Linked DNA regions of Nothobranchius furzeri. The protein of the gene in region 1 interacts with the protein of each later gene in a biochemical or structural test. Links are inferred from orthologs where the notes say so. Each region holds a gene or a part of one and is shown in the gene's direction. Other genes may lie near its edges.

The links.
Region 2: the proteins of keap1b (region 1) and APC membrane recruitment protein 1 form a complex in vitro, tested with the Homo sapiens proteins (2 studies listed by BioGRID). The link is inferred for Nothobranchius furzeri from reciprocal best matches to the Homo sapiens genes KEAP1 and AMER1.
Region 3: the proteins of keap1b (region 1) and mcm3 form a complex in vitro, tested with the Homo sapiens proteins (2 studies listed by BioGRID, with this or other methods). The link is inferred for Nothobranchius furzeri from reciprocal best matches to the Homo sapiens genes KEAP1 and MCM3.

The regions. Positions count from the first base shown.
Region 1 is NC_091747.1:74,209,470-74,212,982, forward strand, and holds part of keap1b (kelch-like ECH-associated protein 1B), read left to right. Parts: intron 1-2,572; coding exon 2,573-3,249; intron 3,250-3,513. UniProt on the Homo sapiens protein: Substrate-specific adapter of a BCR (BTB-CUL3-RBX1) E3 ubiquitin ligase complex that regulates the response to oxidative stress by targeting NFE2L2/NRF2 for ubiquitination.
Region 2 is NC_091750.1:49,363,985-49,368,222, reverse strand, and holds the start of APC membrane recruitment protein 1, read left to right. Parts: upstream 1-1,431; 5' UTR 1,432-1,654; intron 1,655-1,705; exon of another isoform or gene 1,706-1,842; intron 1,843-3,253; 5' UTR 3,254-3,359; coding exon 3,360-4,238. UniProt on the Homo sapiens protein: Regulator of the canonical Wnt signaling pathway.
Region 3 is NC_091742.1:30,394,130-30,398,185, reverse strand, and holds the start of mcm3 (DNA replication licensing factor MCM3), read left to right. Parts: upstream 1-1,249; 5' UTR 1,250-1,355; coding exon 1,356-1,430; intron 1,431-1,553; coding exon 1,554-1,666; intron 1,667-1,897; coding exon 1,898-2,106; intron 2,107-2,174; coding exon 2,175-2,305; intron 2,306-2,383; coding exon 2,384-2,622; intron 2,623-2,714; coding exon 2,715-2,823; intron 2,824-2,952; coding exon 2,953-3,106; intron 3,107-3,181; coding exon 3,182-3,522; intron 3,523-3,738; coding exon 3,739-3,913; intron 3,914-3,987; coding exon 3,988-4,056. UniProt on the Homo sapiens protein: Acts as a component of the MCM2-7 complex (MCM complex) which is the replicative helicase essential for 'once per cell cycle' DNA replication initiation and elongation in eukaryotic cells.

The DNA.
Region 1 (3,513 bases):
TCTGTTAAATTTGCCGCCAGTGTGTGGCAGTAATGAGCCACTGATCTACCAGTGGAGCCGTAGAAGAAGAAATGAGCCAATAAGTGCCCCCAGTTTTCATGACGTATCACGTTACTGACGCTCATCTTGCTGTGAGAGATGGCGGATCAACAAGAAATACGGAAGAAAAATAGAAGCGACAAAACAAGAGAAACCCCGGACAAAAACCTCACGAGAATGGGAGCACTTCACTAGATGCCTTGAAAAGACCGGTGACCTGCAAAATATGCAAAAACCATGGCACGACGGAAGCACGACGTCCCTAAGTGAACATTTGAGACGAAAACGTGGGGGCTGATGCAGCAGAGGAATGTCCGGTAAGTCACAGAAAATAAACAAGCTAACGCAGATCAAATTTGAGACTTAGTGATTTAGCTGAGTTCGTTATAGTGGATGTTAAACATGTTTTTTTTTTTTTTTTGCCGCGTCAGTTTACGGTGTTCTACTTCTGATTGACTAGATTCAATCGTGAATCTCCTCTGTGTTGTGAATCATGCGCTTGCCAAATTTAGCACGTCTGTTTATAAGACTGTTCTCGTTAAGAGAAAAACGGCACAAACCCATAACTGTGTTCCTCATTCAAAAAAGGACAACTCCGCGGAGAAAAATATACAGACGAGCTGTGTCCAGGTGAATATAACGCGGCATAGTTGTACGCTTTCAATTTTTAAATACAGGAGAAATTCAGAAAGTCCTTTTTTTAACTATTAAAAGGCTGTTTTACCGTCTAACACTGTAAAACGCCTCACAACACATTTTTGTCAAAATAAATTATCACTGTATATTGTTAATTAATTCAAATAATGTAATATTGATTTAGTGTTGTAGTGTGTGTGCTGTTTTATTTTATATGTGTACTTAATTCAGTTTATTTGTGTTTCTTATGCAGAAAAAAACAAGCAACGATGGACAACTACATGGGGAACAAGACACTCACCCCAGCAATGCATACCACTTACAAACTCTATTCTAGATTCTACATTATTTTTTTATGGAATTTACCTCTTATATTTTGATACCAAAAAATTATTCTGGACTGATATTTTGCACTGTTTAGCTCATTTTACACCACTGACTGTGTTCATGTGCAATAAAATAGATTGCAGTCAACTGCACAATTCTCTTATGTTTTTCTTTTTCTTAACTGAAATGTATTCATCACTTGTATAGGTTAAATAGCTAAACAATAACAAACTGATTAATCGATTAATCGAAAAAATAATCGACAGATTAATCGATTATGAAAATAATCGTTAGTTGCAGCCCTAGCTGCAGGACCACCTGAGGCAGAGCCACAGCTGTATTGTAGGTGGCTCAGTGACCATTCGTCACCTCAGAAGTACAGGTGATACCTCGTTTATCGTGGTAGATGCGTTCCAGACCTGAAAATCCGCGAAGTAGGGACACCATATTTACAGTACAGTACTATATTGAATGATCTATCGTATGATCACATTCTCTTTTTGTGGGTAAAACTCAAGAAAAATTTTTTTTACTTGGTTTTTTATAGTTTTATTACAAAAAGTGCATTTTATGATGAAATTGATGAAAAAAAAAACCAGGAATTTCTTGATATTTCGCATAGAAAAATACCGCAAATCGGTGAAAAATACAGCGAATTGGCGAATTTCCCTTGAATAAGGCTCCAAAGAAAAAATCCGCGAAGTCGTGAATCCGCGATAAACGAACCGCGAAGTAGCGAGGGATCACTGTATTTTTCATTGAAACAGCTTTTTTGTTAATGTTCTAAATAACCACTACTGGAACACTGGGATGACCCAACTCCTCAGCAGATTTAAGTCTTCTAGCTTTAAGGTGACTTAAGTGAAAATTGTACCTAATTTTTTAAATCACGTTCAAAACTCACGATTATTTATTCTGAAATAGGACGTTTCTGCCAGGCTTGACCCCTGGTGACACCAGAAGTTCCTGTTGCTGACACTCGTGCTCGTCAATAACCACAGAATCACATATGAGTACATGATGTAAACGTTAACTCATTCACTGCCAGCCGTTTCCTGATCAGAAAGCCCCGGACTGCCAGTGTTTTTGAGCGTTTTTACTGTTTTTTTTGAAGAGTCACAGACCATTGTGCTCTATGCTCATGTAAATACCAAAACTTCCTAAAGAAAGAGTGCTTACATCAGGAAGAATCCGTGTGTTTGTAGCGTTATCCGTTCATTCATAATCTGTTGTTGAATTGTGAGCAGCAGAAGCTTTTCCAGTTGGCGCCTCGCTTTTTTCACACCAGCGGCCCAAAACGATCTCCTGATTAACGGATTTTCTGTTTCCTGATCATGTGACATGTGATATAGACGGATGAAGATCAGCTTTAGAAACGGGATGTGTATTCTCACGTTGCAGAGGCTCATTCCCACGCTCGCCCAATAAAAAAATGCAATTGGCGACTTTAGTCGACTTCAGGTTGAGACCTCTCAGCTCCGTTTACAGCAGCTCAGGTGAAACGGTTAGAGGAAATCCACAGACAGTCATTATAGTTGTGGGACAAATGTCTCCATGTCTCTCCTTCCAGGTAGCAACCCAGGAGGAGTTCTTCAACCTGTCCCACTGCCAGTTGGTCAACCTCATCAGCCGCGATGAGCTCAATGTGCGGTGTGAGTCCGAAGTCTTCCAGGCATGTGTGGCCTGGGTGCGCTATGACCGGGAGAACCGGAGACCGTATGTCCAAGCCTTACTCCAGGCTGTCCGCTGCCACTCCCTCACCCCTAACTTCCTGCAGACCCAGCTCCAGTCCTTGGACTGGGACCCTCAGTGTAAAGACTACCTATCCCAAATCTTCCAGGACCTCACGCTCCACAAACCCACCAAAGCAATTCCTTGCAGGACGCCCATGGTGCCGCAGCTGATCTACACAGCGGGGGGTTACTTTCGTCAGTCTCTCAGCTACCTGGAGGCCTACAACCCCTGTACTGGAGCCTGGCTGAGGCTGGCAGACCTGCAGGTACCTCGCAGCGGCCTGGCAGCTTGTGTGATCAGTGGGCTTTTCTATGCTGTCGGGGGCAGGAACAACGCGCCAGACGGGAACATGGACTCCAGTGCTTTGGACTGCTACAATCCTATGAACAACTGCTGGCGTCCGTGTGCACCGATGAGCGTTCCCAGGAACCGGATCGGAGTCGGCGTTATCGACGGCATGGTTTACGCTGTTGGTGGTTCTCATGGGTGCATTCATCACAACAGTGTGGAAAGGTGAGCGATACGGCTACACCTCACAAACCACAGCTTACCTGGTTGTAGTTCCCAACAGCAGGCACACCTGAGCCACAGGTAGGATGTGATGTTAGGATTTAGTTGTCATTAGGCTCTGTGGTTTGCCTCGGTACAGACTTAGTTCTGGTCTGTTTCCTGGGTTAGGTCACCGTGTAATGGTAAGGTAAGGGATCAGATCATGATCTCATCTTCTTCAGGTTTGTTTTTCACAAGCTGCTACAAAAAATAATGAACAAAAGCTCA
Region 2 (4,238 bases), on another chromosome or scaffold:
ATGAGCACAAGCACCACGACGATCAGAAACCACAAAGAGCACTTTGAAAGAAAACACTGAAATCAAAGGACAACGGAGCAATCGGGCGCTGATTTAGGTTGAGAAAACAAGATGTTGCACTGGTAACTGCACGAACCTTCTGCAGAACTGAGTTGTAAATATTATCTGATTATGCCACAATCACTGTGATTTTCCTGTTCACTGTAGCCTAAGGTCTAATCAGTTTTTAAAAAGAAAGCAAAATGTGTATATGTATGGAAATGTAATATAAAAACTCTAATTCTGAGTGTTTGGGTTTCTTTTTAGACAGGAAACGGTTCCGGCTGCTCATGCAGCTTACTGAAACGGTTTCTGCTTCCTTGTTTAAGCATGCTCCCTCCTATTTGAACATGTTCTGTAAATAAGGCTCAGGTTATGTCCAGAAGGCTGACTGAAAACAAAGATGTTTTTTTTTCTGCAGGGACTTAACTTTAAGACAAACTTTCTGCTAATTAGAAAGAGAACAAACAGCCCTCCTCCTCCCTTCATCATAGGAGGGGAAGCAGTTGATCTGGTGAAAGCAGCTGAAAACGGCCAATCTCTAAACTGGTGACCATCCTGACATCCAGTCTGGGAACTGCTCTGATGAGAAGACGACTATGATCTGCTTGAAAATAGACCAACAGCAGCCTCTCTCTAAGTACTGGTTCCCATTGTTGGGAACAGGGCATCAGGTGGGGGTCTTGAACATAAATGTTAATATAGTTGCCATTGGTACATTTAAGCTGAAGTGTACTCAGAAACTTGACCACCCTCTTAAATGGCCAACCATTGTTTAGCATGTTTGTGGCTTTTATTTTATGAGTTGAAAGCTAAAAGGTTTAGGAATCGCAGCTCTGGAGGACACTTGCGCTATAGGGTCTGTAACAGTTGCAATAAAAGAGCCATTTTCCCCTCAATTGATGAAAAAAACAAATAAATAAATACATAAAATACAGGTGTAGAGCCAGAACTTTTGCAGGACTGTTTTAAATGATTTGAGCCAAAGTTACGATGATGCGTTGAAAAGAAAGTCCGGCGAGCCACGTGTGACTCCAGGGCCATAAGTTACAGACCCAAGCAGATGCAGAACTAAAGTAAACAACAACATACCAAATTACTCACGTGCTTTCCTTCAGGCTGGAGCTCCAGCCACCTGAAAGCATGAGCAACATGACCTTTGACCTTTCAGCTGCACTACTGAATGATTTTAGCTGACTTTAAGTCGTTTATTGAGATTGGCTCGAGGAACACATTTCGTCCTTCACTGTCTTTTCATGAATCTGAATTAATCTGTTAAACGTGGGTACCATGGTAACACACGTGTTGCGTCACTGACATGCGCAGAGAGAGTCTCCGGGAATGGAGGTTTGGGAGTCATCTACAAATCGGGAGTCATCACCCTGTTTTAAACGCTGTTGCTTTGTTGTGACCACCTGAGGAGAACTCGGGCTGCACTGCCCGAACCAGACCCGGAACACCGGTGCTGGACTCACGGTTCGGCTAATCCCCGCGTTCCTCTTGCTGCAGCTGTTGCTGCGGTGTGCTTAAGGCGAGCATTGTTCAGACTCAAAGCTACAGCCACAATCCGAGGGGGACCGCTGTCTGTGGACTGTTTACTATGGAGGAACCGTTGGTGAGTGTGATTACCGCTGGTGTTATCGGTCACCTGGGCTAGCTTAGCGCCAGCTGGAGGCGACAGAACCGGTGGAGCTGCTCCGCTCCGCGGCCTGGCTCGACCCGCAGCCAGCTGCAGCCAGAAGTTACAAGTTAGCTTCCTATCACCCTTGGAGACGAAACAAGCTGTCCCACCTCCACTAGCAGGTTGTTGCTAAGTTGTTTTATTCCACCTCTGTTAGCTTAGTGGTGTGAATTTAGTTTTCTTTCAGTCGTAAATTGTAGTGTTTGTGAAATGATGTACGTTATAAATGTAGCTGCCGGTTGTTTCGTTGTTTTCTTCGTGAAAAGTTTGGACTTTTACTTACTTTTTTATGCTAATAGCATCTAGCCTGTTGCTTCACGAGCTACTCTGTCCTTTAAAACATCCCACAAGGCTAAGTTTTAAAACATACAAGTCTAACCTGCTGGCTAAAGGTGTTAAATCTAAAATTAGACGAAACGTTTAGTCAAACCAAATGTGCACAATATGTCACATTATAATAAATGTAAACCTTAGGTAGCCATTGTTTAATCTGTTTGCAAGCATGACTTGTAGCTATTACATTAAAAAGGCTTCTTTTCTCTGTAGGTTTTTAAAGGAATCTAAATTAAATTGATCCTGCTACATGGCAACTGTTTTTTTTAAATCGGAACTCTTATAAAATTATATTTTAACCAGTCTCTGTGTAAATCTGGCCTCTATTTAGAGAAATGGTTTGTGTCGAAGAGGATTGATGAGCTAAGGGCTAGTACAAACACATCCAAGAACGGAGGAGATTGCCATTGTCTTAACACATCTCAAACCTCCTGAATTTGTGAGGTTCATGCACATTTGGTTGTCTGAGAATAGAAATAGAAAGATCTTAAGACCTGATATGAAACAGGAGTGCCCCCTTTTGGAGATATTGATTTAGATGCATAAATTACCATAAAATTCTATGAAACTAATTGTTATGCAAAACTGACAAAATTGTAAAGTTGTTTTTAAAGAATTTTCACTTGAACCGTGTGAACTTTAGAGATTGTTGTTTTTTTTTAAGTCAGTAGCAGTGCATTTTGTCCTATGCTCATGCTATAGTATGTAAACTCTCTCACTTTAATGCCATTATGTCCATTTTCCCGACCTGCTGACCAAAATAATGATGTAAATATCAAGATAGATGAAACAGAACATTTAATAAAGTAATTATAAACTAACCTTTTTTTATTAAGCTATTTTTCTTTAGCGCTTTGCTAATATTACACATATGTGATTGCTGCCTGGGTCCCTTTATTTGTTTTTAAAGACGTCTCAATATTTAGATCTGTTTCTCAACAAAACCAAACATATGGTGTTTCTATTGGTAGATCTAAAACTGTGGACATTTCATAGTAGGTATTTAAATAGAGGAAATCTAAATTCTAGAAATGCAGTTTGCACAATGTGCAAGGAAGTGGAGATGTGAACAATTGAGGAAAATGTGCACTTCGAGGATGCCAAAGATGAAAATAAAACATTTTCATAATAGAATTCTTGACTTCACTCATTGAAACTGTTGCATTTTTACTGATTTTGGTTCTGATTTTCTTATTATAGGGCTGAAGATGGAGGACAATCTAACTTCACTCTTACCGTCAGCTGATTCTTCAGGCTCAGATAGTATGACTTCTTTCAGACACTCGCCTTCCTGAATGTAGTCACCATGGCTTCTCGCGAGCTGGAAGAGTTACCGAGTGGCCCTAAGGCTTCCCCCCCAAGGGCCGACCAGCAATCCGACTCTGATGGCATCAAGGAAGAGCTTCAGTCAGATCCAGTGAACACTACTGTGAAGTCTCAAAAATCCGGGAAATTCAAAAGGACTGCCTTGACATTCTTTGGAGTTCGTAAAAATATTTGTATTTTACCAAGTTTTTTTGGGGGGAGGAGTAAAAATCAGTGCAAGAAGGGAGTCTGCAAAAGTAGAACGTATGACGGGCTAAGTAAGGTCAGTCACGACCACTGTCAGAGAGGTGGTGGCTGCGTCTCAGCTGGAGGTTTTGATTCCCACAGCCAGAGCGGTGCATCTGGAGAGCTCCACGGCAGCTGTCCTCATGAGTGCAGTCACCACACCACTGACCGGAAATCTCTGACTCTTGGCAGGCAGAGAAAAAGTCTGAGGAGTCTTTTTCAAAGTTTTAAGCAGCACAGAGGTCAGAGGAATGCTGAATCAGATAAAACTGAGCCTTCTACTCAGTGCAAGAAAGAGGTGCCTGTTATCCAACTCAACACCAAACATTATGCCACAGAGTGCCTGGGATCTGAACCTGATGTGCCTGATTTTGTAGATGTAATGTGTAATATCACCATTGGTCCTGAATGTAGTCACAAGGATGCAAAAGCATCAGAGAATAGTGTCGAGAAAGAAAGTCCAAAGTCTGAGCGTGATGATCAGGTGTGTGGAGATCAGCTTGAAGATGCTGATTTAGTGTCAGTAGTTCCTGGTGGGTATGTGGAGACTTCCAGGCGTTCAAGCGAGCCTTGTCTGAAACTCCAGGAGAAATCTGAGTTCACGTTGAAGTCTCAAACACCCGCCAGCTCATCC
Region 3 (4,056 bases), on another chromosome or scaffold:
ATAAAAAACACCTGGTTAAAAATTTGTTAAAAGCTTCACCGCAAGAAGGTGTTCTAAAAGCACCGCGAAGTTGATATAAAACAATTTACTGACTTAAACACCTGGTTAAAACTTAAGTTTTACCAAACAAAGGTATTTAAAAACCATGTCAATAAAATTGCAACAAACAAAGTTAACCTTAAAAACCAACGAACACAAGATCCCACAGGATCACTCAAGAGTTTCAACTATAAAAGTTAAACTCATACAGAACGAATGGAGAACAGCAGAGCTCCTGCACTGCTGCCTCCCAGACTCTGAAGGCACAGCTCTTTTATCCAGGTGTGGCTCATCAGGAGGACTCAGCTCAGCTGTGCTCCTCAGCAGCCTGGAAGGGAGGAGGAGGGGGGGGCGGTGTCCGGCCATCACCAGAGCTGGGTGATCCTGGCTGCTTTCTCCCTCTGGCCAGGCTGGCAGCTGCACCAGGTAAAGCCTCTCCTGACCCTGGACACCTGCAGTCCTACAGAGAAAATCAGACCACAGGTGACAAAAAGGCAATAAACACACTTTTACATTTATCCACATGAGAAGATAAAACTTTTATTCTGCACACAAACTTTTTACTTCATTAAAACGTGTCAGCTGTGTAAATCCCTGAATGTAAAACTACTTTTCACAGAAGAACGTGTGTGTGTGTGTGTGTGTGTGTGTGTGTGTGTGTGTGTGTGTGTGTGTGTGTGTGTGTGTGTGTGTGTGTGTGTGTGTGTGTGTGTGAACAGCTTCCTATTCACCTCTGAGCTTCATAAAAACGCTTCTTTGCGCCGTTGTCCTTAAAACAAATGACAATTCAACACACACACACACACACACACACACACACACACACACACACACACACACACACACACACACACACACACACACACACACACACACACACACAGGAATAACTGGGACCTGCGAAACAAAGTCGTTCTGGCTGATTTCTGCCTAAAATGTAATTTAAAGAACAAACATACAAACGACAAATGTCTATAAACAGAACCGCTTTAAGTTTTTTAGGTTTCTACGGCTGGTTTTTAACAAACTCACGTTTAAAACTTCGTAGCTCTCCCCACTTCCGCTTCCTGTTGAAAATCCACGGCCGGCGCGCAAAGCATGCTGGGGGAGGGGGTTAAGTGTCACGTGATTATTGCGTGAGTTTACCCGCCGAGTATGCAAAAGACCACGTGACGGGTTGACCAATCGTAGGGCACGCTGTACTGTGACGCAGACCGCAGTGGCGCGAAAAGTCTTCAGTCGTGAGGTGTGACGGTGGCGGCAGCGTTTTGTTTCCCGTTTTCAGTTTCATCACCGAGAAAAGTTGATCAGAAATAATGGCGACCGACATGGTGGACGACCGGGAGATGAGGGAGGCGCAGAGGGACTATGTGGACTTCCTGGACGACGACGTAAGTCACCTTTTGTCCTTTGATGTGTTCCTGTAAGGAGAGAACAACAAAGGCCGCCGTCGTGGTCAGACTTGTGTCAGGAATGCGTTTTTAACAGCCTCCGTGTTGTTGTCCGACCTGCAGCAGGACCAGGGCATCTACCAGAGCAAAGTCCGCGACATGATCGGAGACAACAAAGCCCGGCTCATCGTCAACATCAACGACCTGAGGAGGCGCAACGAGACCCGGGCCGCAAAGTTAGTCACACTCGCTGTCCCCTTTGGGTCTGGAGCTCCTGAGGTTCCCCTCCATCATCCATGAGTGTAAAGATGTCTCCAGCAGACACAGCTAACTGCTCCTTCTGTTTAGCGAGATCTAACTTTTAGAGGATAAATGCTCCAAAAAGGCAGTACTGAACAGAAATGGTGGATAAGAGGCGGTTCCTCAGATCACGTGTCCCGCCATCACAGCTGGTTTTTGCCTCCCAGGTTGCTGAACAGTGCGTTTGAGGAGCTGCTGGCCTTCCAGCGGGCTCTGAAGGACGTGGTGGCCACGGTGGACGCCACCTACGCCAAGCAGCACGAGGAGTTCTTTATCGGGCTGGAGGGCAGCTTCGGCACCAAGCACGTGTCCCCCCGGACGCTGACCTCGCGACTGCTGGGCAGCGTGGTGTGTGTGGAGGGCATCGTCACCAAGTGTGAGTTTAGGATTTGTAGCTGCCTGCTGGCTCTGGGTTTCATCTAACCTTCCGGTCTTTTCCTGTAGGTTCTCTTGTGCGTCCCAAAGTGGTGCGCAGTGTCCACTACTGTCCAGCCACCAAGAAAACCATGGAGAGGGTGTACAGCGACCTGACCTCTCTGGATGCCTTCCCTTCCAGTGCCATTTACCCAACCAAGGTGGGTGTTTGCTAGCTCAGATGGTAAAGGTTGTGTGTGACTGAAGATGGCTAACCGTCATCGGTTCCGCTGCTTTAGGATGAGGAGAACAACCCCCTGGAGACGGAGTTTGGTCTGTCCATCTACAAGGACCACCAGACCATCACGGTGCAGGAGATGCCGGAGAAGGCTCCAGCCGGTCAGCTGCCCCGCTCTGTGGACATCGTTCTGGACAACGACTTGGTGGATTCCGTCAAACCAGGAGACCGAGTCCAGGTCGTGGGGACATACCGTTGCCTGCCTGGGAAGAAGGGAGGGTTCACCTCCGGCACGTTCAGGTTTGATGTGATGTCCTTCAGACATCTGTTGGTGGTTTAGATCCAGAGCTAAAGGAGAAAAGGTAAAACTCCAAACTCCCCTGTTTCTGCAGGACCATCATGATCGCCTGTCAGGTCAAACAAATGAGCAAGGAGGTCTCCCCGTCCTTCTCTGCCGACGACGTGGCCAAGATCAGGAACTTCTGCCGGACTCGCTCCATTGTGAGTGTGTGTGAGTGTGTGTGTGTGTGTGTGTGTGTGTGTGTGTGTGTGTGTGTGTGAGTGTGTGTGAGTGTGTGTGTGTGTGTGTGTGAGTGTGTGTGTGTGTTTTAATGGTGACTGTTTCTGTAGAACGTGTTTGACCGGCTGGCCCATTCGCTGGCACCCAGCATCCACGGACACGACTACATCAAGAAGGCCATCCTGTGCATGCTGCTGGGCGGGGTGGAGAAGGTTCTGGAGAATGGTACCCGCATCAGAGGAGACATCAACATCCTGCTCATCGGTAAACGGAGACCTGTAGAGCGGTTCGTGTCCACTCTGGGATTTTGTCTCACATCCGGTGTGTGTGGTTTTCCAGGTGACCCGTCGGTGGCGAAATCCCAGCTGCTGCGTTACGTTCTTCAGACCGCGCCCAGAGCCATCCCCACCACCGGGCGGGGCTCCTCCGGCGTGGGTCTCACTGCTGCAGTCACCACTGACCAGGAGACCGGTGAGCGCCGGCTGGAGGCGGGCGCCATGGTGCTGGCGGACCGCGGCGTTGTGTGCATTGACGAGTTCGATAAGATGTCCGACATGGACCGCACCGCCATCCACGAGGTGATGGAGCAGGGTCGGGTCACCATCGCCAAGGCTGGAATCCACGCCCGGCTCAACGCCCGCTGCTCCGTTCTGGCTGCTGCCAACCCGGTCTACGGCAGGGTGAGTTGGAGTGAGCGTGGCGCAGACGTTTACAAAACCCTTCAGCTGTTAGAGGTCGTCAGCTCGTGATGAGGTGGGCGCAGGAGTGAGGCATAATAATGCTTTTAACTTGGTGAAGTCGCTGCAGGCGTCCTCCAGGGACGGCTTTGATCTTGGGCGGTTCGACTGGCGTGTCGGTGGGAACGTGTGTGTTCATGAAGGTCTCTGTTCCTGCAGTATGATCAGTATAAAACCCCCATGGAGAACATCGGCCTGCAGGACTCCCTGCTGTCCCGCTTCGACCTCCTCTTCATCGTACTGGATCAGATGGACCCCGAGCAGGACCGGGAAATCTCGGACCATGTCCTGAGGATGCACCGCTACCGAGACCCCCGTGAGCAGGAGGGAGCAGGTACAGTGGCGTCCGTGTTTGATCGTGTTCTGCAGCGTGAGGAGCGTCTCACCGAGTCCGTTTATTTCCTGCAGCCATGGCTCTGGGTGGGACCGTAGATGTTCTGGCCACAGACGACCCAGATGGCCTGGGAGAAGAGCAGG